Linked DNA regions of Saccharomyces cerevisiae S288C. The gene in region 2 interacts genetically with the main gene of each other region. Each region holds a gene or a part of one and is shown on either strand. Other genes may lie near its edges. The genes, in order: ARG4, TAO3, CRM1 and ACE2.

Region 1 (6,498 bases), on a different chromosome or scaffold from region 2:
CACTTTTTATTAATGACAAATACTTCATTAGAATCACAGAAAATTCTACAAAAACAAGTCACTAGAGCTGCTGAAAGCCTCGGATTTACAGTTTGATTCCTTTTAAAGGAAGAAGGCAGGTTCATCAATATGCAATTTTCGGTACAAAAGTACGTATGTCTATAAAAATAGAGTATTGTTTTCTTTGCTATCTTAATCTACCCAGAATTATTCCAAGGAGTTTCAGCCTCGATTTTTTTTTAGTTTAATGGCGTATAGTCCAGTTTCAAGAAATACTCCACCTACTAAGTGAGTACTTAAGAAGTGGTTCCTCGAAGCTTTCCATTGTGATTATATAACTACAAACATTTCGTAAACATAGCTGAATAAGGAACCCATCCTCAACTTCATAACTCTAAAAAAAAATTCTATATATAGGAACGAGACATATGGAGGACGATAATTTAAGAAACTCTAACGTAGTTTGCAGGGAATATTCCTTCTTTTCCGTTAGTCCTGCCTGTCCACCAATCATTTTGAGAATCTGATTTTTTTAAGATAGTAATAACATCACCTTTTTTGAAAGCCAAGTCGCCTGGTTGTTCTCCAGCAAAATTGTAGAGAGCAACAGCCGTTGGTGTCGCCGAATTTGTAGCAGTGGATTCATTACCTAACCCTGTCTTCGACATTTTATGTGATAAATCATCGACATTGCTCATATTGCTGGGGTGAGTTGGGCCATGACCAAGGCTATAACCCCTTTCTCTACCATAACCACGCCTATTTCCTCGGGTATTATCATAATCCCTACCGGAATGGTTGGGACGGGAGTATTCAGTATCTCTATCATACAAATCATCTTCCCATCGGGTATTCGCACGCGGCTTAGTACCCCTATCTATCTGTGGGCCTCTATTGCGGCTGCTGTTTCTATTTGGAGATCTTCCGTAATCATAATCTTCATCTTCGCTATCAAAATCTCCATACCCGCGACCACGTCCGTAACCATCATCATCATAATCATCATCATAACGACTGCGTGACCCCAGCGACATTCCTCTTCTTCTTGATGATCTTGTGTTTGGACGTGTTGAGGATTCATCAGTAGAATCAAAGGAATCTGGAATATCGTCGTAATAATGGCTTGTGTTGTCGCTGTATTGACCGTCATCATAAAAATCATCACCGCTAGCGTTGTCATCATGGTCGTGGCGTGTAAAGTTGAACGCTCTTGATTCCAAGATACGGAGTAGGGGGTCTGCTGCTGGTGGAACTTTTACTCTACCTGACAAAATCATCTTTGATGTACAGTTATCGCCGTAAAACTTTCGATTAGCTTCCCTTCTCTCCAAGATGGCTGAACCTTCCACAGACACACCGGCAAATAAACCTTTGCTTTTGGAATAGGCAAAAACTGCCGAGACACCACCTGTGGATGCAGAAGCTGCAGCTTCTGCACTTCTTCCAAGAGGACCTGCGGAAACTGACACATTACCACCTAAAGTAATTGTACCAAATTCAGAAAAGGACCTCACTGCCTCTTCCGAATTTAAAATAAAAACAAAATCTGTCAATTCAACGCCGACCATACCACCTGCACCAGCACCTGCCATAGCGATAGCAGAGGGAGCCGACCATGTACCGTCTTTTAACCTGGCCACAATCACCCCAGAACCTGCTCTCCCTGAAAACAAGAAGCCAGCCTTTAAAACCGTGATAATTGCTAGACCTTTAGCTCTTTTTAGCACATATGGTGGAATAACTTGGTCTGCTCCAAATACTTGATTTGGTTTAACAAAACTCCTTAGAACTTTCGCGGCCTTCCTGTAGTTAAAACATTCGAAATAAATCAATCATAAAGTTGTTAGTACATTACTTTTGAAAACTCATGCCCCATAAGCAATGGACACAGACTAGAGAGCTATCTTGAACATTTTAGCTGCATCCATAAGTTTAGAGGAGGGGCAGCAGGAAGCATATATATGAACATACTTGGTCTCGCTTTTCAAGCTTCGAGGAATTGGATTATTGATACCCATTTTTGGATTTTGGATTTGATATTACCACTACTCTTGAAAATTTTACTGTGAAGTGTAAGATAGTTTCATGTTATAGATAATGTTAAGAACAGGGTCTAGTTAGGGGGTAGTCAACTTTAATTCCCTTCAGGTCGTTTTCGGTCAGCGTCGGAACATGTAAAAATGTTGTAGGTGGCATACAAACAGGAAATATAAAACAGACAACAGAAGATATTTGCTCTCAAAAAAACAAATAAAAATGGCTTGGTCTGGTGGTAAGGATATAGTGGATCAGATATTTGATGCTGGGTATTGGCTCGTCTCGAAAAGCGCTGTCTTGAGCGATGAGATCAAGAACCACGTCGAAAAATCAATTGAATCCATATCTGGAAAGATATCCAACAAGGAGACTCCTCGACTACAGGAAAACGACAGTAACAGATCTAAAGTATATAAAACTTTGAGGATCGGGCTCCAGGATCATTGGAAGCTAGGCTTGGGAATTTCTGCCACCTCCCTGTGCTTATACCTTGGGTATAGGACCTTTTTTAAACTGCCACCTAATTTACCTGAAGCAGAATCTCAAGTGGTATTAATACTGGGCGATATGAATGATCCTATCATAAGGAATCAAGTGATGGATTTATATCGCAGACGGTTTACAGTATATATTTGTACTGAAAATGCAGACGTCTATAAGAAGCACGAAGAAGATCAGGATTTCATATATTACATTGATCCCACCTGCGAAAAAGACTTCGAGGGTTTTTTTGTTGATGTACCAAGGCTAGCATCCATATTGTTTATGCCAAGGTTATCATATCATCCATCCGGAGTAATTTCATGTGACTCATTGGAATCTGAAATTCATTCAAGTATATTTGTGTATTATCAAGCATTATTAAGCATTATACCCCATTTGAAGAGAAAAACCCAACTAATTATGTTCAATCCATCTTTGACTGCGGACCTGAACTTAGTCCATCATAGTACAGAAATTATAACGTCTGGAATAATCGACTCACTATTTAAAATTTTCAAGGAATATCAAAGGTTAAATGTTTCCACAATCAAGCTTGGAATCCTGCAGATTGGGTCACAACCATCGAACTATAAATTTTTGAGAATGGCCGGTTCAGACATTCACGAGGCCCTACATTATCCAGTTTACAAAATGATAATGAGTGCGAATGGGTATAAACTAAGACAACTGCTAAGTTGGTTAACGACTTTGGGAGGTTACAATAGTGTGTATTATTGCGGCCGTTTTAGTTATTTAGTCTCATGGCCATTTGCTTCACTTATATTCAACCATCACACACGTCTTTCCCTGAAACGCTTGAGAGGAAGATTAGCCAAGGTATATAGCAGCATTATTTCGTTTTTTTGCCGGTCATCTTCTAAATCATCCAAATAATATCCTTGATTAGATAACAATTGCTTATCTACGTATATATATACATAGCACAATCTCGAAAATATAATACTAATAACAAAATAAGTATTTAAAGAAGGGTTGATGAAGTCCTAGAAGTACCAGACCTGATGAAATTCTTGCGCATAACGTCGCCATCTGCTAATTTAATTGGGATTTCAAATTATCCAATTGCTTCAATACAGCAGATTTAGCGGTTCCACCAGTAGCATCTCGTCTTTCAACGCTTTGTTCAAAGTTAAAAGTTTCAAAAAGATCTTGTCCGAATCTCGAATCGATCTTTTGATACTGCTCCAAGGTTAATTTATCAATACCGCTTAGACCAAGTCTTTCAGCAGTAGCGACACACTCACCAGATATGTGATGAGTCTCTCTGAATGGAACACCCTTTCTGACCAAGTAATCTGCCAAGTCGGTAGCTAGCATATCCATCGTGAGAGCAGCTTCCATCTTTTCCTTATTTACAGTTAAGGTAGAAATAACACCTGTGGCAATCAGCATGGAGTGCTCTACAGTTGTTAAGCAATCGAATAGTGGCTCTTTGTCTTCTTGCATGTCTTTATCATAAGTAGATGGGATACCCTTCAAACTCATCAAGAATCCTGTCAGATCACCAAATACTCTACCGGATTTACCTCTTAACAACTCTAACGAGTCTGCATTCTTCTTCTGAGGCATTAAAGAAGAACCTGTTGAATAGGCGTCGCTCAACTGTATGAAACCAAATTCTGCTGTACAATATATAATCAAATCTTCAGCAAAACGAGAAATATGGTTCATGAACAAAGTTCCCCAAAACATCAACTCCACGATGAAATCTCTATCAGAAACAGCAACCAAGGAGTTACCAATTACACTATTGAAACCCAAACCTTCAGCCAAAAATTCTCTATCAATGCCGTAAGGATGACCAGCAAGAGCGCCTGCACCCAGTGGTGATTGATTCAATCTGTGTAGTATTTGACCCAGTCTCTTGTAATCTTCGGTGAAGTATGTTGCATAAGAGCTCAACCAATGAGACCATCTAATAGGTTGTGCCCTTTGTAAATGTGTGTAGCCTGGCATTAAGACATCTATCTCACCTTCGGCCCTCTTAATTAGAACTTCAACCAAGCCCTTTAAAGCTGGAAAGAGGGTGTCATTGACAATGTCACGACAGTATATTCTCAAATCGGTAACAACTTGATCATTACGGGATCTACCGGTGTGGACTTTACCAGCAATATCGCGGCCAATTAGTTCACCAAGACGTCTTTCATTCGCAGTATGGATATCCTCGTCGTTTGGATGACGGACAAATTTGTCAGCGTCCCATTCTTTTTTGATTTCAGCCAAACCTTCATGGATCTTTGCCAATTCTGTCTCCGTTAGAAGACCCAACTTCTGCAAGCCCGCTGTGTATACTTTAGTTCCTTCTAAATCTGCCTTATACATCTTATAATCATACGGAAGAGACGCATTGTAAAGGTGCATCAAAGGATCGGTTTCACCAGTGAATCTCCCACCCCATAGTTTTTGAGTGCCGTCTGACATGTTTGCCTTAGTCTTGTTATATAGTTACCTGCTTTTGAGCTCTTCAATTGCGAATATTCTCCCCTAGCTAAAGAAAGGTAGTCTTATCTCAGAGTTCTGTGCTTCGCTGACCTTTTATAATCCTTTTTTTTTTTTTTCACATGTTTCAATTTGCGCCAGCTTATCCAAAAAGTGAGTCATTCATCTACTAATCATGATTTTCGGGATTCTGCCAATGAGTAACCACCACAAGAACGAACAAATAATCGAAAAAAAAAAACTGTTCTAGGCCAGATATGATGGAGCCTTGGCAGATCAGGTTATTTGATTGTCGTTAACAGAGGGTTTGGAAGAGTAAAGAAAAATTAATTGCCTGCGCCAACCATTTATTGTTATAACGCTAATTCTTGAATAAATCAATGAATAATTAGAGAGAGGGAGGAACGTAAATATTAATCGGTATAAATATTTGTATATATGTGAGCGCTCACGTACTCTTCAGTAACTAAAGATCATGGCTTACATCTACCGCTGAAACGTGGATACAAGGAACAGTCTCTGACAGTGAATCTGTCACACAACCAGGCTAAAATACGTTCGGTACCGATACCGTAACCACCATGTGGGCAAGTACCGTATTTTCTTTGGTCAATGAACCAGTAGTAGGCGTCGGTATCAATACCCTCACGCTTAAACCCTGCCATTAGTTCGTCCATGTCGTCGATTCTCATAGAACCACCAGTGATTTCACCAACGTTTGGCATCAAAACGTCGACGGATTCAGTGACGCGGGGGTCGTCAGAACAACGCTTCATGTAGAAAGACTTGATTTCTACTGGGAATCTCGTCAAAAAGATTGGGACGCCGATGGTATCGGTCATCTTTCTTTCAGCAGCTTCTGCAATATCGTCACCAAATTTAAAGTCTTCGCCCTCTTCGTTCTTGATGTCGTGTTCGTTCAACCAGGTAATGGCATCCTTGTACTGTAATCTCATGAATGGAGCCTTTGGAGCCTTAAAGTTTGGATTCAATTGTTTTACGAGTGGGCCAGCAATTGGGTCTTCCAAAACGTATTGCACGGATTTGACGATCAAAGTTTCAATATGTTGTAATAGATCGTCGAAAGTCAAGAAGGCCAATTCAGCTTCGATATGGGTATATTCGGACAAATGTCTTCTTGTGTGGGACTTTTCAGCTCTGAAAGATTCTTGGATGGTATAAACATCACCTAGGGAGGCCAAACAGGTTTCTAAATATAATTGGGAACTTTGGGTCAAGTAAGCTTCCTCGCCGTAATAGTTCATCTTGAACAAAGTGGAACCACCTTCGACTTGAGTTTGCACCATACATGGTGGGGTAACTTCTGTCAAATGTTCTTCATCATAAACACGTCTAACGCTTTTCAGTAGAGCAGCACGGACTTTCATGACTGCAGACAAGGCATCTCCTCTCAAGGCCAAATGACGTTGGTCCAACAGTAAAGAAGGGTCTGAGCCCTCTGCGATTTTGTTTGTAAAGGAGTCTTCACCACCGGGGGCCAAACCTACAACTTCG
Region 2 (10,587 bases):
GGATAATATTTTAGCATATGAAATAGCCAATACATTCGGTGTGTCTAAGATTCTTATCTTACCTTCAGAAATGAAAAGCTCGTTATATCTGTCTAGTTCTTCTTGGTGTGCAGCCTGTGGAATTTTCAAATTGGTGAAGAAAAGAACGTTAGATAGAAGTGTCAAATTGTAATTGTCACTTACAATGGCCGATTCCTGAGTAATTATCTCAAATAATTTTGGCTCAATGGCATTCTTGAGTGCAAGAGCATCTTCTTCATTTAGCACGTTCTCATTTTGATTATTATTATTAAAAAGAGAATATATGGTTGAAATAAGTAGAAAGCAATATTCTCTGGATTTCGAAATTTTAGCTACCCTATTCAATTTTGTCGCTAAAAATGTAATGCTTTCTTTGACCAAAATATGTCTCGAAGTGGTGAAATCAAGAATAATCTTCAAAATTGTTTCAATGTGAATATTTTCCTCATCATTTACTCGAATTTTTTCCTCGAAGCAATCAGGTAACAAATCCAATAATTTCTTCAATGATATTTCAAAAACTAAATCCTCATATATCTCACTGATTGTCTTTAACCCTTCCAAACAAGCATAGTAAATGTTTTTGTTGTTATCCGTTAATATTTCTTCCGTGAAGTATTGAATAATTAGTGAAACTTCCTCTGGGGTTAAAAAGCCCTTCATTTTAATCATTTTTGTGAATTGAATCACAGATAGAGTCCTTATGGTAACCTCTGCCTTGGAGCTTCTTGTCAAGGCCATGCTCAAAATCATTATGATCTCGTCTTTGTATTCAGCCATTTTATTATTTGGCACCGGTGTTCCCAACGATTCTTTAGATGTTCTTCCAAACAAATCAATGTACGAGTCAACAAAAAAAGAAAAATTCATAATCAGCAGCTTAAGTTTGGCAACTTCAGATGTATTGATCAAAAATAAGGGGAAAGTTGACGAAATGACCTTGTTAAATATCTCGACATTCCCACTACCTATAGCGGACAAAATCTGGCAGGTTTGCTTCAAATCCTTTTCATATTTAAAATTTGGTTTCAACTCATCTAATACATGAGTGAAGAACTTTTCAAATGATACTTTGTCAAAATTGTATAGTTGCAATGCCATTAGATTAATAATTTTCAAGCAAGCATCGTAGTTAGTATATTGGCCCACATCATCACTCTGTTGGTCTTTATTGTACGGATTTAGTAGAGTGTTTTCATTTCCTTCGCTGTTTTGCATAATTTCAAATTTCAAAGCGTTCCAAAGTAACGTCCAATTTTCCAATATAGAAGAGCCGCCGAATTTTCTAACGCATTCTAATAGCGTCAGAAGTGTATCATTTTTCACTACCGGTGAAGAAGCAGTGAGTTTGTCCAGCAAATTGCTATAAGCATCTTCGGCAAATAATGGCGTCGCAGTAATTGCTGATCGCAAAGCTGTTTTTAAATCTTGGTTGGAGATCTTGTAAGGATCATGCTTTGGTGGCTTGAAAGTGATTGGGAAATAGCAAAATAAGACATCAAATAAGTCTTCTTTAAAATTCTCCACGTTTTGCAAGGACGATGTGATAGATTTATTAAGTGCAAATGACAAGAGTAAATTTCTAGGGTCTTTTTCACCATTGGCAACATGAAGAAATGTTTCAATAAACAAATCGTTGATTCGTTTGACTTGTTCGGTCGAGGATCCATTGACGAAAAATCTATCAAATATTTTTCTCAAAATTTTAAATGGCCACAGTCTAGTTGATGCCAAATGCTGGCCTTGTTGATAGTTGTCCAATAATAATCTCAAAAGTTGGGCTATCTCGTTAATGGAGACATATTTCATTGGAGCTAATGCGGCGAAGCCCTCCAAGACTTCTTTTGCAAGCGCTTGATCATCAAGCTTAGACTGGTAAAACTGAAATATTACTGAGCATTCGTTTTTGGAGAGGTGGTCCTTGGGAGTTTTTGCTAAGATAGTGGTTAAACATGTCAACGCTTTCTTCCTTTCTACCTCATTTTCTGAAAGAAAATAATCTTTCAACGCAACGACAACTTCCAGCAATTTTATTGATCGGTGTACAATAGAATCCGTTACTGTGGAAGCGGTTTCGTTGGCCTTCGAATCATCAATATTCAGATTGGCCATAAAGGTGACGACTGCTGAATTTAGTTCGTCTGGTGTCATTGTAAGGCCCAATTGTTCCGCTTTTTCCCAGTTAAAACAAGTTCAATGAAAACTAACAGCTAATAACTAGATGATCATAGAGGTGACTCCTTCATTGCACGTAAAATGTACATAATCTACAATTCACTTAAATAACTAAACCAAATTTCAGTATTTGAAAAATTCATACCTATTACCCGCTTTTAACTTTTTCTTGGCTACTCACTCATGAAGGCCTAAAAAGAAGCTGCAAAGTGGTATTACCTATCTCGAAGTATGTCCTAGCTCTCTTTGACTCATTGAGGTCACCTAGAGTATACCATCCCTTCCAAATTAGCGGTATCAACATCACATACATTGGGAGTTGGTTGAATCGTTATGGTTGTATCACTAACCACGAAACGACAGCCACACAGGAAAATACATATAGAACTGTAGAAATTGGGATAAAGGATTAGGCAAATGAAGAGAGAAAGCAAATGTGGATTTAGGTCTTCATAATAGGACGTGACTGGTTAAAGTGTGAAAATTCTGGTTGTTTGTTGTGTTCCCATTTTAATAACCCTTTTTAGTTTTGTTATACATCAAAATGGCCTCGAGATTTACTTTCCCGCCCCAGAGGGATCAAGGCATTGGTTTCACCTTCCCACCGACAAATAAAGCAGAAGGTTCTAGCAACAATAACCAGATATCAATAGATATTGATCCTTCAGGCCAGGATGTCTTGGAGGAAATAAACGAAGCGCCACTTAACACATTTCCTCTTCACCAATCCGTTACGGATGCACCTATTATTGATATTCCATCTCCTACTGATATGTCTGAAGGCACCTCTCTAAATAATCAATTACTTTTACGGCAACAACAGCAACAAGGAACGGGGGAAGGTCAAGCTCTTCCGCCTACCTTTGTTGAGGAGCAAAGTGATCAAAACAAGATTTCAATGCTACTACCTGAACAAAAGCAGCAAAGAATGCAAGAATCAGCACCGCCGGACATTACAGCAAAATCAGTAGCAGAGGACTACGTGACTACTTTGAGACAGCAAATGGCTACAGATTGGAAAAGTCCCTCTGAATATGCTCTTCATATACTTTTTACAAAGTTTATTCGTTACGCGGAGAACAAACTAAATATGTGTCTACAGCAGTTGGACATGGCGGAACCCCCAATTGTAGAAATTCTTGGTGAAGGCGTTGATCCCAGCTTTGATGAAATTATTAAATCTCTAGGTCACATTGCAAAGAAAAAACCGAAACCTGTGATTGATGCAATGATGTTTTGGAGGAAGACTAAATCTGAAGCGGCCAACTCTGCTTCAGAAGAAATGGAAAAACTATTAAAAGAGTATGAGTTTGAAAAGGCACATCCCTCGCAGGCTCATTTTTTAATGAATAGGCGGCTATCAAGATCTTCCAGTAATACAACCTCAAAGTACAAACATAATAACAATACCAATAATCTTCCTGGCATGAAAAGGCACGTTTCCTCATCTTTCAACAACAAAGTTCCGTTAATCAAAGCTAGTAGCAGTAACAATAGCGCTACTTCAAGTCCATCCATAGCGAACTCACAATTGAAAAGTTTAGAGAACACAATTGAAGTAGCAAAAGAAGAAGCATTCCTTGCAGATAGGAAATCTCTGATTAGTATATACATCCTATGCAGGGTGCTAAATGAAATTGTTAAGCAGGCTTCCAGCAATGAAGAAGAAGATTTATCTGATAAGCTAGAAGAGATTGTTTTTACTCAGTTAAAAACTACTGATCCACTTTCTATATCAACTAGTTTAATTAAGTCTTCGAATTGGAATTCTTTTGCCGAACTACTGGGCTCTATGTCTGAAAAGAAATTTTTGTCAGTTAGTGATCGATTTATAGCTGATCTAGAAAAAATCCCGGCGTATATACCTCCCGAGTTAGAGCCAAGTACTCATTTGTTGATTCTTGGTATGAGATATTTGAAGTTAAGAAATTATCCGTTGGAGAAATTTGAAGAAAGTGCAGATTTCATGAAAAGTTTATCAAAGTTCTTCGCAAAGACTGAAAATTTTCCGGTTTGTTTGGCGTATGCTGAAGTCACTAACCAGCTATTGTTGCCTTTGGCTGGCTCGTTGACGGCAGAAGTTAATCATCCAACGTGGGTAGAGGCAATGTCTACTTTACTGAACACTGCCAAGAGGCTACAAGCTGATAGTAAGTATTGGGTAAGTGGTTTCAAATTAACAGTTTCTATTTTGTGTGCATCACCACCAGACCTATTTTCTAAACAATGGCTATCGTTGTTGGAGGCAAATGCCTCAAAAGTTAAGTCCAAAAGTCTGAATGAAAGGATTATCTTTGCAGTTGGTTTATCCAGATTAGTTTGGGTCTATTTATATAGATGCCCAGAAACTTTAAATAATACTACAAGGACGCTTACCAAGCTTTTACAACTATATCTAAACACAAGGAAAAAAGAGAATTGGATAACCGGCGATTTTGGTCTCTTGAACCCATTGACAGACGCGTTAATATCAATTGGATTTTTACATCCGAATTTTTTAATGGAACAAGCTTTAATTCCATTGATACGGCAATCTTTCAATGGCTCTAACCTGGAAAATATCAATTACGAAAAACTGATTTTGACTATAAATACATACAAAGGATTGCTGGTTACAAAAGAGAGGCCAAGGTTTCCTGAGGATGATAACAGGCTTTATGAACTAAATTTAAACAATATTACAGTGAATCAGGTTCAAGAAGCCTCTTCCATAAACCATACAGAAATATCAGATTACTTTTATAAATTATTCCTTTTATTGGATTCTAGCATCGGTTCTGAAGTTTGGTCTCCTGAAAATCAGCACCAAAAGCAATCATCAAACGCATTCAGCCCATTTGGCTTTAGCTTTTCTAATGACAATGACTCAAGTAAAAATAAGTCGCTTTATGTTATATTGTTCGGCACCATCATTGAAGCTATACCATGTTGCCTTTCTATTTCACGCACTATCCCATATAAATCTACAATTGAGATTTTATCAAGGAACGCTGTTCATTCGGAGGTAATTATTTCTTCTAGCAGTCAAAATGCACTAAGAGCATTAGCATCTAAGAAGAATCCATACACCCTAATCACATGGTTTGCTAAATATTCATTTGATTTCGATGAAAAGACACAATCAAGTTATAACATGTCGTACTTGTCATCAAAGGAGTACAACAGATTATTGATACTTTATGTTGAGCTTTTGGAATGCTGGTTAGAAGAATTCCAATCGTCCAATAAAGAGGAAAATAAAAAAGAAACTGGTTTGGATGGAATTCGCTTGTTGCCGATCGATGCAGAACAAGAGGAGAGTAACGAAACCGAAAAACTGGAGTGGAAAAATACAGTTACAGTTATTGAAGAAGTAGAAGGGAATGGCTTATTTTTTCTTTGTTCACACGATGCAAAAATTCGTAGATTGGGCATCCAGATATTGAGAATTATTTTCAAGTTTGACGAAGCGATGATGGAGAAAACAGAGAAATTGTCAAACGGGCATTCTAGATCATCATCCCATTTTGCAGCTGATCGCGGAACAAGACTTATTGATTTATTAAATGAGTGTAATACCACTACCTTAATTAATCCACATAAAGCAACATTAAGTGCGGTTGAAAAAACGAGATTCAGTCGACTGAATTCTAAATATAAAAGAGGTCTACTTATCAAACTGGCCGAATCAGAGTACGGAGTAGATGCTGCACTATGGCAAAGGGCTTTTCCTAAATTACTGGCGTTGGTTTTCAAAACTTGTCCTATGGCGATGGCATTGTGTCGATCTATCGTTTGTATAAGACTTGTGCAAGTACACGAAATAATTCTGCGGGTAGCAAATGATGTTGATTTCAAACTCAAAAATGTTTTACCGGAAACAATAGTAAACCAATGGAAGCTATATTTGATTGCCGCATGTACTTCATTAACTTCCACGTTTGACCAAAAACTGCATATTCCGTCCAATATTCCTCAGCATGGCAGGAAAAAAAGTCAACAAATCTTTACTGTTCAGCACCAAAAAATCAAATCTGCGAAATCAATCTTCAAGATGGTTCTTCCCTTATTAAATGCAAAGTATATTATGATTAGGGATGCTATAATAACGGGGCTAAGCTCAATGAATATCAACATTTTTAAAGCATATGTGGAGGCAATTGATGTATTTTTAGTGGCATGGAAAGAAGGGAGCTCCAACAACCAAATCAGAGTGGAGATGTTTCATATTTTGACGATTTTATCGCCGTACTTAAAATCGGATATGATATTTAATGACGAATGGATACTTCGGAAATTATCAGAGTTTTTGCAGAAGACAAAACAGTTCCTCGAGAAGGATTCTGTGCAAATCTCCTACGAATATCAATCGCTGCGAAGCTACTTTGCAGGTCTTATATTGAGCTACTATATGGCAGTAAGAGAGCATCCGCTAATAGATGAATTATTTCCCTTCCAAGCACGCGCATCATGTTTCAATTTCTTGAAGGAATGGTGTGGTTATGGTGAGTACGAGCCAATATCTGAAGAAAGATATGCCATAATGATAAAAAATACAGAGAGTGGCAGAGATAGAACCGCTATTACAACTGGAATAGAATTCCAAAAAAACAGATTGCAGATGATCGTGCTAGAGACTATGGTTGTTTTATGTTCAGATCCAATAACCCAAACATTGGACGATGATTTAGAGTTGCCTATTGTGATTTCATTCGATACTGAAGATTTACTTGCTTGGATTGAAGCACTATTTGACTCGGACAATACTACTGTAAAAAATCTTGGTGTGCGTGCTTTGGAGAATCTCCTGGACAAAAATAGGGAAAATTTTAAACTATTTAGAGATGTTGCTTTCCAATGTGTTTCACACCACTCACATCCTTCGGTAGCTGTTTTATATTACACTACACTTTGTAAATCCGTTTTGAAATTGGATAATTTGGTTTTAGATGAAGATGAATTAGTCTCCTTGGGTTTGTATGGTTTAGTGGCAGATAAGGAAGATACAAGGACATTTGCTGTTGATCTACTTTCAGCTGTTGAAACGAAATTACATAATTCTTCTTATACCAAGGTATTTAAGGAGAGACTTGCAAATTCTTCAAAGACGGTTTACAAATCAACTGCAAAAGAAATTTCTAGCATATTTGCCGAACTGCTCTCTCAGGATTTGTGTTTGAGAATATTTTCCAGTTTGGTTAGAATACTTGATTTGTTTCCTTTCGAAATAAAAAGAGATTTGTTGGTGCTTATGGTACCTTGGGTAAACAAATTTACATTGAAATCTTTAGAAGAGTTGGACACGTTTATGGTATTGAATAACCTATTTTACATCACTATTGATCTTAACGACTCTTTACCGAACGAAGTAGAGCAGCTATGGATTTCTCTTGGCAAGGGTAATTCTTTCCAAAATATACACGTATCGCTGGAGTACATCATAAATTCTTCAATGAATCACTGCAATCCATTGTTTGTTCAGTATGCTAGAGATATTGTATTGTATTTGGCAAATATTCCTGGTGGCATTGGACTACTTGACACTCTATTGAATAATTTAGAACCGAAATACATGGTTCCTTTAGCGAAACATACGTTTAATGAGCCAATGAATAATAATAAGTATTCCTTTTTAGGGAATATCTGGGAACGACTAAATTACAATGGGAAAAGAATCATTTTTTCGAAGGCGCAGCTTTCGATTATCTTTTTAGTCAATTTGTTAACGAACTTGAGTGAATCTGTAAAGGCGAAAATTCCTCTTCTACTACATATGTCCATTTGCTTGCTTGACCATTATGTGCCGCTTATTCACGAAAGCGCGTGTAAAATTGCATCTACATTAATATTTGGATTGGCACCAAGTCACGAAAAGTCTGAGGAAACCGTGAAACTACTAAGAAATAAGCATGCCTTATGGTCATATGATAACTTGATGAAAAAAGGTGCAAGATCACCAAAAACTATGGACCTATTAATTAGGAACATAATCTCTATATTCTCGGACTTAGATGAATTTCAAGTAACTTGGCAAAGAATTGCCTTGAAGTGGGCTACCACTTGCTCAGTTAGGCACATAGCGTGCAGGTCATTTCAAATATTTAGATCATTATTGACATTTTTAGATCAGGAAATGTTGCGTGATATGCTTCATAGACTTTCGAACACTATATCGGATGGAAATGTCGATATACAAGGATTTGCCATGCAGATCTTGATGACTTTGAATGCAATCATGGCCGAACTTGATCCGACGAATTTGATCAGTTTCCCGCAGTTATTTTGGTCCATTACAGCATGTTTGAGCAGCATTCACGAACAAGAATTCATTGAAGTGCTGTCATGTTTAAGTAAATTCATTTCCAAGATCGATTTGGATTCTCCTGATACCGTACAGTGTTTGGTTGCGATCTTTCCTTCCAATTGGGAAGGTCGCTTTGATGGCTTGCAACAAATAGTTATGACTGGATTGCGATCAGCGAATTCCTTAGAGATTACGTGGAAATTTTTGGATAAGTTAAATTTGTTGAAAGATAGCCGAATTATAGCAAATACAGAGTCTAGGCTGCTTTTCGCATTAATAGCAAACCTTCCGAGATTTTTGAATGCAATGGATCGCAAAGATTTTACGGGCATTCAGGTTGCTGCAGATTCGTTAATTGAACTTGCAAATGCGTACAAACAACCTTCTCTTTCCCGTTTGATAGATTCTCTAGCAAAGAACAAGTTTAGATCAAAGAAAGATTTCATGAGCCAAGTAGTGAGTTTCATATCTAGAAACTACTTCCCCTCGTACTCCGCTCAAACGTTAGTGTTCCTTCTGGGTCTTCTGTTCAATAAAATAGGATGGATCAGAGTTCAAACTCTGGAAATTTTAAAATATGTTTTTCCTTTAATTGACTTAAGAAGGCCAGAATTTATTGGTGTCGGTGCTGATTTGATTTCTCCGTTACTCAGGTTACTATTTACTGAATACGAAGCAAAGGCCTTGGAAGTTTTAGATTGCGTACCAAATGTTTCTGGAAGTAAAATGGATAAGGATGTTTTAAGGATAACCATGGGAAATAAGGATGTGAAAGACGGCGATAATGCTACCACTACCTTGTTTGGTTTGCCTGAAGATAGCGGTTGGTCTGTTCCTATGCCAACAATGACGGCGGCTACGACAAGGCACAACGTTCACGCAGTTTTTATGACATGTGGTACAGGCAAATCAGATGAAGTATCTGCTCACGGATCGGATGATATGGATGCAGTTATCGAATTTCATGCGGATGGTGACTATGAACTCGGCAGAATGGATACAATTGTCGAGTTTCATGCGGACGGTGATTATGACCTTGGTAGAATGGACACAAACGATTCCATTTCTGTTGCGGAAGAAAAGGATGCTTCGTTAAGTCACATGTGGGCAGAGCTAGATAATCTTGATAGTTTTTTCACAAAGGACACAAATGTGCCAAATATCTCCTCTAAAATGGGGATGGGAATTCCACATGGACGTTCTGATTCGATTGAAACCACTCGCACAGATCAAACTTTTTCCTTTGAGTCTGCTCCACAGTTGTATGACAAAAAGGTCTCAGTCATACTGAACAGGAGCTTATCTAGAACACCGTCCAATGTTTCATTTAAAACTCATTTGGCTGATTCATTTGCTGTGAAAATAAACAGGAATGGAAAGCCAAGAATATAAGTTAATTTTTTCGTTCAAATAAATATAAAGCAGGCCTTGGTTTATGATAAGGTACCAATGATGAAGATATTTCGCATATAGCTAATACTGTTCGAAAATTAGATAATCTTATAGAGAAACTATTATCATTGTTTACTATATTATTCATGTTTTCTTTTAATTATCGAGCTTTTGAAGGTGAGGTAGTTTAGGAAGTGAGGCTGATAAGTAAAAATTGGATTTTAGGGAAAACTAGATCCAGGATTGGTACTATTTTCTTTTGTTATTGCAGTTTATCACCATTATTATTATTATTATTATTATTATTATTATTATTATTATTATTATTATTATTATTATCATATATAAATACACACATAAACGTTTTAAGCTTATGTTCAGCAAGTGCTGTAGCCACGATATTATAGAATATAAATCAAAGATAACGTTTTCATTCAGAGGGGTAATTTAAAGGTAGGTATTTCCCAAATAGCTGAGCATCTAACTGATCGAATACTCCAAGAATATCGTTTGAGTCAGTCATATTTTGTTCGTTTTTAATTTCAATATTAGGTGACATCTCCTCTTTATCTTCTATGTTCAAATTGTCTTGTGAAAGCGGTATTTGTAACTGGGGAAACCCTTCATAAGACGGTGAATTGTTATCAATCTTAATGCCGAAGTCATTATTATTTTTATTATTGTTATTATTGTTATTATTATTACTACTATTACCA
Region 3 (8,779 bases), on a different chromosome or scaffold from region 2:
AATCGACTTAAATCGAATTATACGAGTCGTAGCGGGCTCGAGCCTCAGTGTTCGAGAGAGGAGGAAGAAAATATTGACAGAATAAGAAGCATTTATAACATTTATTTTGAGAAAAGTAATAGCACGATACGATCCTCTGTAACTTCTTCGATACGGCGTGACTCTAAATTAAACATCGCTACAAGAAAAAGTGTAAATATGAGCTCTCAAGACAATCCAAATGATACTACATTAATTGAACAGAGTCACTTCGGAAGTACAACTGTCCAAGAAATTGATTCCAGTTCCAGCGCCAATGAGGAATATGAAGATGCAACTGATTATCTGCAAGTGCCGGCACCACAAGAGAATAAAAACATTGCATCGTCAGTATATTCAGAAGTAGCAACCAGAGAAAAAGTGATTCCCGAATCGTCTCTATCTCTTACATTCCCACCACCGAATGGTCTTTCAACGAGAATTACCTCATCAATATATTCTGACACGGTCGCTAAGGACCATATTCACTCTGCAAAGGCTCCCGTACGGGCCCTTTCGGAGGGTTCGGGTCAGTCAAATCTTACTTCTGCTCAGCAATATTCTACATATTTTATAGATCACTGCAACCAGAGCAATGATGACAATTACTACTATAATTATCCCCTCCCGTTAGAACATCCTCAAAATTATGAGAACATCGGAGATTTGCCCACGCCTACCCAATTCATTTATTCCACCTCTTCGCATTCCTTGACGTCATTCAAAGGAAGGCCTAAACCTCCAAAAACACTAAAACATGTACCTACAGCTAGGCTTAATGGGACAGCGTTGAATCCAATGGATCATCCTGAAATGTTTTACAGTTCGCCTACGAAAATACCGTCAACATCTTTGACAAAGCAATTTTGTACGCCCCTTCCATATCAGCTTAGACAAAGTGTTGTTATGACCAACCCATCAGAACTTTCTATGAAACCTCGCTATAAGCCTGCAGGATCTTTAAGAAATTTAATAAAGGCCCAATATCTCCCTGGTAACTCATCCACTACAACATCATCTTCTTTATCACAACCGCCGTCAACGTTGTCAAATGCAATAAATTTCCGTGTTAGTGGGTTATTGGATGACACTGACATCTTGCAGCCTCCTAGTGTGGGGGAAATCTTACCTTTTAAAGCTTCTACGGAAGACTTAAGGAAGCAACTGGGCACATCCCATAATTACGAAATAACACCGTACGAGAATGTACATGTATAAATAAAATTCAAAATCATGAAATGTTGTAACAGTAAATAAGCACCATAAATTCGTTTCTCGATGATCCTCTTCTTTCCTTAATTGAAATGCTAATGCCATTTCTCCTATTACAGTCGCGAGATATTTGTTTTCGGGTAATCCCTTGTCAAACGAACTTTATTGAAAAATATATGGACGATAAATTGACAACTGGGACGAGAAAGGGCAACTCTTTGAAAGCAAGAGAGAACAAATATAGCCATGTCGAAGTTCCTACAGGGATCAATATTTAGCATATCAAAACTTCATGTTAGATATTCTTCTACTCGGCCTTTTCTAGTGGCTCCTAGTATTGCTAACAGTATAACAACCGAGGCTCCAGCGATTAATCACTCACCTGAACTGGCAAATGCGAGAAAATGGCTACCAAAAAGATGCGGTTTAATTACTCGTAAGAAGGGAATGATGCCTTATTTTGATAAATCTACTGGTGAAAGAAGCGCCGCTACTATATTAGAAGTTAATAATGTTGAAGTAATAATGCATAGAACTTCGGAGGTCAATGGGTACTTCGCGTGTCAAGTAGGGTACGGATCAAGGCATTTGTCTAAAGTTAGCAGACAAATGCTTGGTCATTTCGCTTCTAAAGTTGTTAACCCAAAAGAGCATGTGGCCGAATTCCGAGTTAAAGATGAAAAGGGATTAATACCACCTGGCACATTATTGAAACCCTCTTTTTTCAAAGAAGGCCAATATGTTGACGTCAGATCAGTCAGCAAAGGCAAAGGTTTTACTGGTGTGATGAAAAGGTATGGATTCAAGGGTTTGAGAGCATCTCATGGTACATCTATTATGCATAGACACGGTGGTTCTTATGGTCAAAACCAAGACCCAGGTAGGGTACTGCCAGGAAGAAAGATGCCTGGTCATATGGGAAACGAGCATGTTACTATCCAAAATGTTAAAGTTTTGAAAGTCGACGATGAAAATAATGTTATTTGGGTTAAAGGCTCTGTGGCTGGGCCCAAAAACAGTTTCGTTAAAATTCAAGATGCAATCAAAAAAACTTGAGCATAAGGCGTATAAGTATTTTACTACAATCATGTACATACATCAATAATAACAATAAAATGGGTAATCACTTAAGAATCTTCAAATAATATTCTTTACTTTTCCATGAAGTTGGCTAAATAGTATTTAGTACTATATTAGAGTATTGGAACTTTGAAGAACCAATTTACATACAATATGAAGTGAAAAAGAAATGAAAACCCCGTGGTTATAAATTAGAGACTAGTTAATAAAAGGGAAAAAATATTGGAAATTTAAAGAATGATACGCCACCGCCTCTAATCATCAAGTTCGGAAGGTTTTAATAACCCACCAATCTTGGCAGCTTTTTCCCTCTCTAGTCTATTCTGTTCCATTAATGCATTCTCTTTATCTTCAGCAAACAAATAATCTGTTGGATCACCTCCGACTTCTTTGATTTGCACCAAAAAGTCCCTCAAAGTGCCTTTGAAGACCACTAAGTCTTTGTATTGTTTAGTTAATGCAGAGAGAAAACTTGCGATTTGTTCGGATGTTAAATGGGGGAATGCATTACTTAACATATTAGCCAAATATTGGCTTAAGTAGACTTGATTTGAAGTTCCTTGTGGTACCTCAGCTTCTTGATATAATGGTACCGAAATCTTGTTATCATAAACCAAAGAAATCAACTTCATTAGTAACAAAGCTTGCTTAGAAAAACCGGATTTGTGGTCGGAATCGGTTAAAACAAAAAACGTTTCACTGACAAAAATGAAAAAATAATTCTTGTGGAACTCATTTGCAAATGGGACATTTCCCATTCTTTCAATGTTTTTCACTAGGTCTAATGCAATCTGTAGACCATTAACTTCGACATCTCTATTGTTATGTTTGAACGCCCAACAAATAGCGTCAACAAACAATTTAAAGGCAGCCGGAGGTAGTTCCAAAAATGCAGCAAATGATTTCTCATTGATGACCTTCAATAACTTGTAAAATTCTACACGATGCTCTGGATATTCTGTGAAGTCTTTGTTAATCATGTCCAAAGTGCATTCAAATACACTCTGTAAAATTAAAATAACACCTTGTGGGATCATATGACCAACCTTTTCTACTACTGTTGTCATACAATTTAGCACTTCGGCGTCCCTTGCATCAGGAACGTTGTTCATATAGTCTTCAAGTACAGCGTTCAATAATGGCTCAACTAACACTTTAACGACATCATCCAAATTTCTCGCCTTGGATATATAGGTCTCAACAAGCTTCAGAATCTCTTTTTTGATGGTTCTCAAACCACGAACCTTTGGTGTCTTCGTAGCAATTAGACCTTCTGCGGCAACTTGAGCAGAAATCATCGAAGAAACAGCTCTGTATAGCTGAAGCATATTGTAATAGATGTGACCCAACTGTGGATAGAAATCTGCTCCCATTGAGGTGCAGACAGCTACATTGGTTTTTATAATATTCGCAATAATTTTGACAGTTTCAGAATCTAACAACAATGTTGGGTTAGCAGTGGATTGTTCCACTATAGTGTCCCAAGCCATATTTGGCAGTTGCATCAAATCACTTAATAATCTATTTCTCTCCGCTACGCTTCTTTCTTCAGAAATAATAATACCACAAGCCTTGTAAAATGTATGGACCTGTTGCGGCTGTAGGTCAGCAGTTGTCTTTTGAATATCCCTAATTATTGTTTGGATGAAAGGCTCAGACTCACGGGGTTGTTGAATAACAAAATGATATTTACATTTTTGAACAATCTTAATGAATGTGTCACATGCCATATCCTGAACACCCTCATGAGTTTCATGCATAAATTCAAAAAGTTTCAAAATAACTGTTCTTAGAAAATTCCAGTGAGCCTTCAAAAATCTAGGATATTGGCCCACGACGTACATAATATCCGATGCAACAACAGCTTTATTATCTTTACCCCTTTTCTTGACCGTTAAATCTAGTAAATCTTTAATAACAGTAACTACAAACCTTTTTTCAGTATCTTCGCTCATTGTACCAGATATGGAACCAATAGCCCAAGATAAAGTGTTGATATTATGCCATGACCATTCGGAACCATCGATTTGCCTTGCCAATTTACTGATCATGATTTCTTCTGTATCGATAACATTCAAATGGGTCAAATATACAAGAACCTCTCTTTCTGATTTGTATAATTGGATAGTGTCTGATTCTTTAACGAACTCTCTAACAATTTCTCCTTCATCATTTTCAACCACAAGGACTTCTTCTGGTCTAACCATATTTTCAATAATGACCAATCTCAACTGTGAACAAATTTCTTCGTAAATATGTTTTTTTAATGGAAATCTTTTCATATATTCCGGATTTAGGGCGCCAGATCCAGTTGAGATAGCTTGTGAACCGACTGATAACTGTATCAATGGGCTCATTTCGGTAGCAGGCAAACGCTGAACCTCATAAAACAAATCTGCTACTAAATTATGCCAGTAATCCAATGTCGTCTTAAATAGTTCTCTTTCTTCGATTTTGGATAATTGAATTAAGTATTGGTGCGCATTCAACAACAACTCTCTTAACGATTCATCACTCTCTAGAAGGGCCCTATTACGAGCGAGATATGTAGTTAGAAACATTGCTAAATCTTGTAAGAAAGATTGATCATTACCGTTAGCATTTGCATAAGTGGCTTTCAGATCGGCAGTCACGGGCATCACACTTGTGGCAATTTGTTGTAGAGTATTTTGGAAAAAAAGTACAGTTTGTCTTTTTATCAAATCATTATCTTGTGGAATTTTTAGATTTGAAACCTCAGTCAAACATTTCAATGTGATGGCTCTTGTATCAGGCGATGTCATGAATTTGGTGCTTAATAATTCCAAAATATTGGTTTCATAAATATAACGATAAGGAATCCAATGTAAATATCTCAGTAAAGATTCTAAGGTTGCCACTATTAGAGAGCTTGAAGAACCTTGTTCCAAAACTTGAAAACATAATTTAAAAATCTGTTCAAATTCTTTTGACATGGAATTTTTCAAATGTAAAGCTTTAGCTTGTGTCATTTGTTCCGCAGAGAAATCGAAGACTTCTTCGGATAGCAGTTTCAAAACGATCATGTTATTTTCACAAACATTAACAGAGGAACTTGAACTGCCGATTAGTTCTGGGATAAATTCAGGCCAATTCTGAGGCCATTCCTGCTTTAAAATTTGGACCAAAGTCAAGTCCGACTTATTGATCAGGTTCTTTTGTGTTTTAAATACTTCATCGTCTTGGCACATGGAGATAATCATACCAACAACGAAGTTCCTAATTCCAATTCTATGATCATTCGGCAACAATTTCCATTTTCTAGTAATTAATTTATCAAGGATGGAAAGGGCAATAAATTTTGATTGAGGGTTAGTTGAGAATTGAAGAATTTGGTCAGCTTTTTGCCAAGCGTCTGGATTATCTTGAAATTTAGTCAAAATCTCTTGGGCTTGCTTTTGCTGAACACCTGAACCTTGATAGAATGTAGATACCACCTGATCTAATAGAGCGATATCTAAGTCGTTAGAAAAATCCAAAATTCCTTCCATATTATGTTTTTATCCTATTTTTGAAGTCAGTGAGCGGTTTCAATAATGTAGAGTAAAATGTTAACTTCTTCTTAATTATACTATTAGTTAAGTTTCTTGCCTTTCACAGGTCAACGTCTATTATTGTAGGTGTAAGTAATTGAAAGAGCGAGAATGATAGAAAAGAACAAAAGAAAACTTAACAATGATTGACTTTACTTAAAATAATCAGGCCAGAGAAATGAATAGTGTTGAGGTTCTCAAGATCTATGTCAAAGTTGTGACCGAATATCCTGCAGTTGATAATCTTTTTTGCCTTTGCTATTAGCGATAATTCATAATAATGCTAACGTAGGAAGAATAAGGAAAGCCAGGGAAATCTGCGAAATTCTTTTTTTTTCTTATAAAGAAAGATCATTCCAAATAGTATATATCTCCGGGTAATGATGTAATATTGCCCTTCATAATATATTATTTGTATTGAAACGATATAAGAGGAGAGGATTGACAGTAACTGGGAGGTATATAATGTGTACACAACATGAGAAATGGGTAAATGATGAGATAATTGTTGGGATTCCATTGTTGATAAAGGCTATAATATTAGGTATACAGAATATACTAGAAGTTCTCCTCGAGGATATAGGAATCCTCAAAATGGAATCTATATTTCTACATACTAATATTACGATTATTCCTCATTCCGTTTTATATGTTTCATTATCCTATTATATTATCAATCCTTGCACTTCAGCTTCCTCTAACATCGATGACAGCTTCTCATAACTTATGTCATCATCTTAACACCGTATATGATAATATATTGATAATATAACTATTAGTTGATAGACGATAGTGGATTTTTATTCCAACACAACAATTGAGTACTATCATATTCGTATGTTTCCGTTGTATCGCCATTCTAAATAAATGGAAAAGCTGTTAATATAATTGGCGTTACTTTTCGGATGAGCCGTATCGGCTGTGCATTTAACACCCGTTAAAGCTTCAAATACAAAATTGTTGGAACGAGAGTAATTAATAGTGACATGAGTTGCTATGGTAACAATATAATGCTTACATCGTATATTAATGTACACCTCGTATACGTTTAAGTGTGATTGCACCTATTGCAGAAGGAATGTTAAACGAGAAGCTGAGACAATACTGAAGCTGTGCTTAAAATCTATTAGTTGAACATGATATGGTAGGTACATATATGAGGAATATGAGTCGTCACATCAATGTATAGTAACTACCGGAATCACTATTATATTGGTCATGATTAATATGACCAATCGGCGTGTGTTTTATATACCTCTCTTATTTAGTATAAGAAGATCAATACTTATTTCTTCATTAATACTATTTTTTACCTCTAATTATCAACAAAAATAATATCCGGAATAATCAAAAAAGATTTAGAGTGCATAAATTAATTCCCTTCTAATGGGTACTCTTGCAATGTATAGTATTCTTTGCCCAGAGGAAGATAAAACTTATTCAGATCTCTTCAACCATTAAGATATAATCAGTAAGCGCAAGTGGTTTAGTGGTAAAATCCAACGTTGCCATCGTTGGGCCCCCGGTTCGATTCCGGGCTTGCGCATTTTTTTCTTTTCTTTTTTCCCTGAATAGTAAAGTTTGACATGCTCTAGAAAATCACCTCTCAATAAAACAAATTTAAATTATTCTTATTGTTCATTTTTACATCTATAAAGCCTCTTAAATATGCCCTTATATAATTTATCTATCAATTAGATCATTTGCGCTATCGTCATTATTATCTATTGGTTCTTCCGGGGGCTCCATCGTAGAGTCTTGATTCATTCTCGGAGACCACATAAAATTGTTAACACCGTAGTCCATTCTAGGTGTCGCAATAGGTTCTCTTTCTAAAATTCCTGGAGCAGGTTCCAGATTTACGTTTATATTCGAAATGTGAGACGATACTGTGGGATCTTTAACATCCCATTCGGGTTCAATGGTACGTTTCATCCTGCAATGAAATTTCCATCTTGTTACCACCATCTCCAATACATCGAAGTTTCTTTGATTTTCTAAGTACTTGTCCACTTTACCCAGGATATATAGATGATGGACATATTGATCAATACCTAGACATTCCCTTGCAGAATAAGCTGTATAGAGAGGTATTTGTAATAACAAATCCGAGAATCTGATACATCCATTATAAGCATTCGTATAGTGAATGCTTTGTACAAATCTTCTGTACTGTAACTTCCTCTGTATGATCTTTGCTTTATCAATCGTATTCAGCTCTTTGTTCAGTCCGATCAGGTCTATTTTGACGTCATATGGATCATCTGGGTTAACCTCCATGTAGTTCTCGACTAGACTTTTTATTGTCAATCTACCTTCCCAAATTTTAAATGAAAGAGGACCGTCAAATGAATGCATTATTCTTGGGAGGTAGGACAGCTCAAGCTCGCCAGTTCCATCAGTATCAAATTTGGACCAAGCTTCAATGTATTTTTTTATCTCCGATCTGTTGATGCCAGAGCGAGATCCACCGCTACGGTAAACATAACTGAAATTACCAATAATCAACGAAACAAACATATTCACAAAAATATACATGGAAATAATATTCCACGACATTAATAACAAATAGGCATATGTCTCTGATCCACAGTCCGTATAGGTTGAATTATCATCAGAGGAGCAATAAGGTTCTGACACAGTTAGGTCGGCCATGATATAATTCCAGCCCTCACCAAAACTACATCTAAACAGAACAATCATGGATTTGATTACAGTTCTAAAATTTATGTTATCGGTCGTATTACTCCCTAACCTTGTTAGGCCGAAGATTTGATTCAAAGCAATAGCATATACTAAAAATAAAACCCCCCAAGTGTAGGTCAATGATAGAATAGGCGGTAAGCTTGCCATTGCGGTTTCTAATAGTTCAGTTAGTGTGTCATTTTGAGGAATAATAAACAAAAATATCACTAACA
Region 4 (7,719 bases), on a different chromosome or scaffold from region 2:
GTTGCACACCCGCTACTCCCTCATTGACAGCTCTCAAATCGTCATCGTCAGTAATATTAGACACATCAGACTCGATACTGATGGTTCTAATCAGTCTTTGCGAGGAACGTTGGCGTGTTAACGAATGTCTTCTTTGAGAACTCGATCTGGACCTTGCTTGGTAACCGACCGAGTAACTTCTTACACTCCCTGGACGTGATTCTTGTACCATCTTTTGCTCTAATTTTACGTGCGTATCTATGTGTGTGTATTCTATAAGAGTACAAAAAAAAACTGTATATTGTTGTCCTAATTCTATAACTTTTCCATTTGGCTTATCCTTACTTACAGCCACAGAGCTTCTATTCTGTCTCTTCGAGATTTAACCGGCTGGGCCGACAAGAAAAACGGTAGAGCACCATGTGAATATTATACCATAAAGAACAAAGAACAAGAGAACGATCTGTTGGTGGTGTTCTAAAGTGAAGGAGGTTACCAATCGCTTAGAAGAAGACTGGCCTATGGAATTCATATCTGCAGACTATTCTAGCAGTGACGGTAGTGATACCGAGAGCGAAAGTAGTAACAAAAGTGAGGTCCAAATCGAATACACGGAGAAAACTTGCATACAGAAAGCCGATTCCACTGATTTACCTGCAATACCGGATTCAATTATATTGAAGTACCACATCCCTCCGAATTTACAAAAGTACGAGCACCAGGATATGAATATGAGTCGATTTTGGCGTTCGTTCACATATTTTGAGTGGCGTCCGACTCCAGCGATTCACCGACAACTTCAGAAAATCATATGTAAATATAAAGAAACATTTATGAAACAGGAATACACTAATCCGTATCAACTGGTGGATTTTGACCCGTTGTTCATCTCACACTTGGGAGCCCCCAAACCTTTACACGTTTCCTTAACTCGATCGTTGTTGTTTGAAACTGAAGAACAAAGACATGTTTTCATTCAAGAAATGCGTAATGGTTTACGAAATAATGAAATAACCCCTTTTAAACTTCAAATCTGCTCATATCCGAAGTTATATATATCAGAACGAGCCAACACCTTGTACCTCGGTCTCCCTGTCTCAGAATGTCCCAATAAGGCACAAATTTCTCCTTTCAAAACGATAATAGCTGAGGCACTTCAGAAATCAGGCATTTCAAACTATCAGGATTTAATTGTAAGTAGGCAAAATTTACATGTTTCAATTGCCATCGCTAGCAACCCTTCAAAAGCCACATTAAAACGTTATCAACAATTAAACGAGACGATGGGGGCGCTTTTACTACTCAATAATGACTTTGCATACAAACTAGAGTTCTTAGTTAACTCTATCTATTGTGATGAAAACCGTCACTCCATTAGAATCCCTTTTAACTAATAGTGTTATAGGAATAGCCGCCCAAAAATACCGGGGCACTGAGAGCGGCTCGTCAGATAGGTGAAGGTTGTCATAATATACGATATATATCTCAAAACGGCAAAATGTAAACATTGGCACTTTGGGAAAATTTCAGGACACTTTTGGTTTACAGGTAAAGGATAAGGATGCTTGTAGCTAGTAAATCAACTCCAGAAAGCATTTAGCCATTAACGGGCAAATATTAAGGAGGGAGTACTGTTTGTTTACTCGCAATATTTCTGTCCCTTTTCTTTCATTAAGGGTTTTATAGTACACATAAACTTATAACAACCTCTCTCGGCATTGTACCTAGCAAACAAAAGCTACGTTGCAGGGAGACTCAAGCAACAGTTAAAGTGCTAGAAGAAAAAAATACAAGGCATAAATTCAAGAAATAACTAAAGAAATCTATAGGACCAAAAACGGTGTTAATACAATCATGGATAACGTTGTAGATCCGTGGTATATAAATCCCTCAGGCTTCGCGAAAGACACTCAAGATGAGGAGTATGTTCAACATCATGATAATGTCAATCCTACCATACCCCCACCCGACAATTATATTTTGAATAATGAAAACGATGATGGCCTCGATAACTTGTTAGGTATGGACTACTATAACATCGATGACCTGTTGACTCAAGAGTTAAGAGATCTGGATATTCCTTTAGTGCCTTCTCCTAAGACGGGCGATGGTTCTTCTGATAAAAAGAATATTGATAGAACTTGGAACCTTGGTGATGAAAACAACAAAGTCTCCCACTATAGCAAAAAATCAATGTCCTCACACAAGAGAGGTCTAAGTGGCACAGCGATATTTGGATTTCTCGGCCATAATAAGACATTGAGTATTTCCAGTTTACAGCAATCCATTCTAAATATGTCTAAAGATCCGCAACCCATGGAACTCATAAATGAATTGGGTAATCATAATACGGTAAAAAATAACAATGATGACTTTGACCATATAAGGGAAAATGATGGTGAAAATAGCTATTTGAGCCAAGTTTTGTTGAAACAGCAGGAGGAGTTAAGAATTGCTCTTGAAAAACAAAAGGAAGTGAACGAAAAATTGGAGAAGCAGTTGAGAGACAATCAAATACAGCAAGAAAAGTTGCGTAAAGTATTAGAAGAGCAAGAAGAGGTGGCGCAGAAGTTGGTTTCTGGGGCTACAAATTCTAATTCCAAACCTGGATCTCCAGTAATACTAAAGACACCTGCCATGCAAAACGGTAGAATGAAAGATAATGCTATAATCGTCACAACGAACTCTGCAAATGGCGGATATCAATTTCCTCCTCCGACGTTAATATCGCCTCGGATGTCAAATACTTCAATAAATGGTTCACCATCCAGGAAATACCATAGGCAACGATATCCAAATAAAAGCCCAGAAAGTAATGGATTGAACCTTTTTTCCTCTAACAGTGGTTATTTGAGAGATTCTGAACTGCTTTCATTTTCTCCACAAAATTATAATTTAAACTTGGACGGCTTGACTTATAATGACCATAATAACACCAGTGATAAAAACAATAATGATAAAAAAAATAGTACTGGTGATAACATATTCCGTCTGTTCGAAAAGACTTCCCCGGGTGGGCTAAGTATCTCTCCAAGGATAAATGGAAATAGTTTGAGATCGCCCTTCCTCGTCGGCACAGATAAAAGCAGGGATGATCGATATGCTGCTGGCACGTTCACGCCTAGAACACAGTTGTCACCTATCCACAAGAAAAGGGAATCCGTAGTTTCCACGGTCTCGACAATATCACAACTGCAGGATGACACTGAACCCATCCACATGCGAAATACCCAGAACCCAACATTAAGAAATGCAAACGCTTTAGCGTCATCAAGTGTACTACCTCCTATTCCTGGTTCCAGCAATAACACTCCAATTAAGAATTCTTTGCCACAAAAACATGTATTTCAACATACTCCCGTCAAAGCTCCACCAAAGAACGGAAGTAACCTAGCTCCGCTTCTAAATGCACCGGATTTAACAGATCATCAGTTAGAAATTAAGACACCCATACGAAATAACAGTCACTGTGAAGTGGAAAGCTATCCGCAAGTACCACCTGTCACACATGATATTCACAAAAGCCCCACTTTGCATAGTACGTCTCCTTTACCAGATGAAATAATACCTAGGACTACGCCAATGAAAATAACCAAGAAACCAACTACTCTGCCTCCGGGTACCATTGACCAGTACGTCAAGGAACTACCCGACAAACTATTCGAGTGCTTATACCCTAACTGTAACAAAGTATTCAAGCGTAGATACAACATAAGGTCGCATATTCAGACACATTTGCAAGATAGACCGTATTCATGCGACTTTCCCGGTTGCACCAAGGCGTTTGTTCGCAATCATGATTTAATAAGACACAAAATCTCCCATAATGCCAAGAAATACATCTGCCCATGCGGAAAGAGATTTAATAGGGAGGATGCTCTAATGGTGCATAGAAGTCGGATGATTTGCACCGGCGGTAAGAAATTAGAACATTCGATCAACAAGAAACTTACATCTCCCAAAAAAAGCCTGCTTGACAGCCCGCATGACACAAGTCCCGTAAAAGAAACTATCGCCCGGGATAAAGATGGGAGCGTCCTAATGAAAATGGAGGAACAGCTGCGAGATGATATGCGCAAACATGGATTACTGGATCCACCCCCATCCACAGCAGCGCACGAGCAAAACTCGAACCGCACCCTTTCAAACGAAACTGATGCTCTCTGACGAACATTTATCTATGCATGATATTAACATAATAAATAATAGTAACAATAATATAATACATTTATTTCTTTACGATTTACGTACACTGTAGTCTTAAGGGCCAAAAAAGGCAATAGTCATCGTTTATAGGGACATAACCCTAAAGGTTATATGCGACTCCTTCTCGAAAATGAAAATTTTTCACAACCTTTAGGGTACATTGCCCTTTAACTACTACAAACCAGCTTCACACATCCTTTGGTAAAACACAGTGTGACGATTTTAAATGACGCAACCTTTTGGGAGACACGATCTAAAACCCACTATATATGATGATACTGTTTATTGAATCATACACCCTGTTGGTTAGACCGGAAGAAAGCTAAAGTTGATCTCCGAAAATACAACGGTGCATCAACCAAAGAAAACATTGCAGGCGTTTCCAAGTGACACTGCATATTCGAAAGTATGGTTGATCTTATAGCGAGGGATGACTCCGTAGATACTTGCCAAGCTTCTAACGGCTACAATGGGCACGCAGGTCTTAGAATTCTGGCAGTATTCATTATACTGATATCGTCAGGATTGGGAGTTTATTTCCCAATTTTGTCATCACGGTATTCGTTTATAAGGCTACCAAATTGGTGCTTTTTCATAGCGAAGTTCTTCGGTTCTGGTGTCATTGTTGCCACAGCGTTCGTTCATCTTCTACAGCCCGCAGCCGAAGCTCTGGGAGATGAATGTCTTGGTGGCACATTTGCCGAATATCCATGGGCTTTTGGGATCTGTTTAATGTCGCTTTTCTTACTTTTCTTCACTGAAATCATCACGCATTATTTTGTAGCGAAAACGCTGGGACACGATCATGGGGACCATGGGGAAGTTACCAGTATTGATGTTGATGCTCCCAGTTCGGGATTTGTCATCAGAAATATGGACTCGGATCCTGTATCTTTCAATAACGAAGCTGCCTACTCCATCCATAATGACAAAACTCCGTACACTACTAGAAATGAAGAGATTGTCGCTACTCCTATAAAGGAAAAAGAACCCGGCTCAAATGTTACTAATTATGATCTGGAACCGGGAAAAACAGAGTCACTAGCTAATGAACTAGTTCCAACCAGTTCCCATGCGACAAATCTCGCTTCTGTACCTGGAAAAGATCATTATTCTCACGAAAATGACCATCAAGATGTCTCCCAGTTGGCCACACGTATCGAGGAGGAAGATAAAGAGCAGTATCTCAATCAGATACTAGCTGTTTTTATTCTAGAATTTGGCATCATCTTTCACTCTGTATTTGTGGGTCTTTCGCTATCTGTCGCGGGTGAAGAATTCGAAACCTTATTTATCGTTTTAACTTTCCACCAAATGTTCGAAGGTTTGGGTCTAGGCACAAGAGTTGCCGAAACGAATTGGCCAGAAAGTAAGAAGTACATGCCTTGGTTAATGGGATTAGCCTTCACTTTAACGTCACCCATAGCAGTCGCGGTAGGTATTGGTGTCAGACACTCTTGGATACCTGGCTCTAGAAGAGCATTAATTGCTAATGGTGTTTTTGACTCGATATCATCAGGAATTCTTATTTATACTGGACTAGTCGAATTAATGGCTCATGAATTCTTATACTCTAATCAATTCAAAGGACCTGATGGCCTCAAAAAAATGCTTAGTGCATATCTCATCATGTGTTGTGGAGCTGCTTTAATGGCTCTTCTAGGGAAATGGGCATAGTATCTCACGTATATTTTGTTAGATTAGATAGTTATTCATTATCAAAAAAAAAAAAATGCATGACCTATAATTTTACAACTGCTCTGCAGAGACGAGAGACATCTCGCAAAAAACAGCATATGTCAGCGACCAATAAGTATAAAAAACACATATTCCGTTATTTGGATATGCCCATTATTACCGAAGGGCAATCGGAATGACAATTTTTATGATTGGAATTGTATAATATACAGATAATTTAATCTATCCTTTTGAAGTGTGAAAAGGGCAGAGTAATGCCGGTATTATGTAGGATAATAGTTTTATTATATAACGGTCCCGAAAACTCTCTTCCTTGCACTATTACTCTCTTTCTCCTGTTGGTCATATTCGTCAACGAATTCGTAGTTATGCCTTAGATTCCATTGTTGCTTGACGAATTTCAACCCTTGAACATTAAAGCCTAGATCATCCTCGGTAGATTTTAATGCACTTCTTAATTCAGTCTTTACTCTATTTATTTGCAATTTCAATTCTTCATTTTTCTGAGAAACCAATTCTTTATGATTAAATTTGATAATGAAAAATAAATTCTTGCAAATTAATGGTAAGTGAGAGTGCAGCAAAGTTTTGTTTTGCATAACGGTATCAATAAATTTTAAAAATTTGAGGACATATGAGAATGGCATAACCATCAGTGCATCTTCTAACTGAGACATTCTTATTCTTAACAGGGTATCCATAATATATTGCTCAGGAGTTTTATTCACAGCAATTAGAACAGCGTTACCCTGTGGTTTTATTGGCGCTTCACCCAACTTCTTTCTTTGCCATAGCTTCATATCTCTGTTATATGCCTCTAAACCTTCAATCTCAGCAATTCCTAAATCTAGCGCCTCCATAAGTCTTTCACCAGCCTTTAACGATTCTAAAGTCTGTTTATGAACACCGGATGCTTCATCTTCAACGCCTTCACCCGATGCATCAGCTTTAAATGCATCATCACCGTTTCCTTCTTCCAAAGAAGTTAGCAATGTATCCTCGTACTGTTCTTCAAGTTCTTTCTCCTTTTCCTCTTCTAAAAATACCTGGTCCTCGGTTTCTTCCCAGATTCTTATACTGTGATCATGGGATGAAGAAACAACAAAGCCGCCATCAGTAGCAACCGCCAAAGCCCAAACTTCGCTCTGATGAGCGTATAGTTTTTGAATGCATTCAAATTTCTCGCCATCCCAATATTTCACCACTGCGTCTTTAGAACAACTAAAGAAGTTGTGAGACTGTGGTAAGAATTTAACGTTCATAATCGAATCCTGATGGGCAAATAAAGACTTGTGACAGTCACCAAAATCTAAACCCCAAATCTTGATATTTTTGTCTGCGGAAGACGTAATAATCATCTTAGAATCAAATGAAATATCGATAGATAGTACAGGTAATTTGTGCCCATATAAACTTAGGTAAAACTTCATTGAGTCCAAAAAGAATACCTTAACAGTATTATCCAGCAACGAGATGGCTAGATATCTATCGTCAGGAGAAACCCGTACACATAAAATGTCGTCAGTTAATTCCAAAGTTGTATCATGGTGCAGTTTTAAAACAGGCAGGAATTTGTTCTTGGTACCTGGCACTAGGCTATTTTCAACTTTGAAATCCCAAAACTTGACAGTTTTATCGGCAGATCCGGTCACTAATCGTTTACCATCTGAGGTCAGATCTAGCGACCAAATTGCCGCATCATGTGCATCTTCAATGGTATCCAAAAGACTTGATGATGCTAGATCAAAGAGCTGTAACTCCCCGTTTCTTGTACCCAGTATGACTAGTAGCCCACCTGGCAAAAACTTACAAGTTAATGCATACCCACATTCGAAA

What was found.
Region 1: of TAO3 (region 2) and ARG4, changing one suppresses a phenotype caused by changing the other (phenotypic suppression), as found in Saccharomyces cerevisiae (one study listed by BioGRID).
Region 3: of TAO3 (region 2) and CRM1, changing one enhances a phenotype caused by changing the other (phenotypic enhancement), as found in Saccharomyces cerevisiae (one study listed by BioGRID).
Region 4: of TAO3 (region 2) and ACE2, changing one enhances a phenotype caused by changing the other (phenotypic enhancement), as found in Saccharomyces cerevisiae (one study listed by BioGRID).

Annotation. Positions count from the first base shown.
Region 1 is NC_001140.6:136,438-142,935, forward strand, and holds ARG4 (argininosuccinate lyase ARG4), read right to left. Parts: upstream 4,966-6,498; coding exon 3,574-4,965; downstream 1-3,573. Other genes in the region: MIP6 (Mip6p), read left to right, coding at 1-96; YSC84 (Ysc84p), read right to left, coding at 444-1,803, 1,972-2,018; YSC83 (Ysc83p), read left to right, coding at 2,257-3,414; asparagine--tRNA ligase DED81, read right to left, coding at 5,457-6,498.
Region 2 is NC_001141.2:105,391-115,977, reverse strand, and holds TAO3 (Tao3p), read left to right. Parts: upstream 1-2,740; coding exon 2,741-9,871; downstream 9,872-10,587. Other genes in the region: MET18 (Met18p), read right to left, coding at 1-2,172; ASG1 (Asg1p), read right to left, coding at 10,302-10,587. UniProt on the Saccharomyces cerevisiae protein: Seems to play a role in cell morphogenesis.
Region 3 is NC_001139.9:929,581-938,359, reverse strand, and holds CRM1 (exportin CRM1), read right to left. Parts: upstream 5,820-8,779; coding exon 2,565-5,819; downstream 1-2,564. Other genes in the region: TOS2 (Tos2p), read left to right, coding at 1-1,236; mitochondrial 54S ribosomal protein uL3m MRPL9, read left to right, coding at 1,477-2,286; calcium channel protein CCH1, read right to left, coding at 7,545-8,779. UniProt on the Saccharomyces cerevisiae protein: Receptor for the leucine-rich nuclear export signal (NES).
Region 4 is NC_001144.5:400,937-408,655, reverse strand, and holds ACE2 (DNA-binding transcription factor ACE2), read left to right. Parts: upstream 1-1,833; coding exon 1,834-4,146; downstream 4,147-7,719. Other genes in the region: bifunctional choline kinase/ethanolamine kinase CKI1, read right to left, coding at 1-211; USB1 (phosphoric diester hydrolase), read left to right, coding at 501-1,373; low-affinity Zn(2+) transporter ZRT2, read left to right, coding at 4,594-5,862; snoRNA-binding rRNA-processing protein DIP2, read right to left, coding at 6,168-7,719. UniProt on the Saccharomyces cerevisiae protein: Plays a role in regulating basal-level expression of CUP1. Activates EGT2 transcription in the absence of SWI5.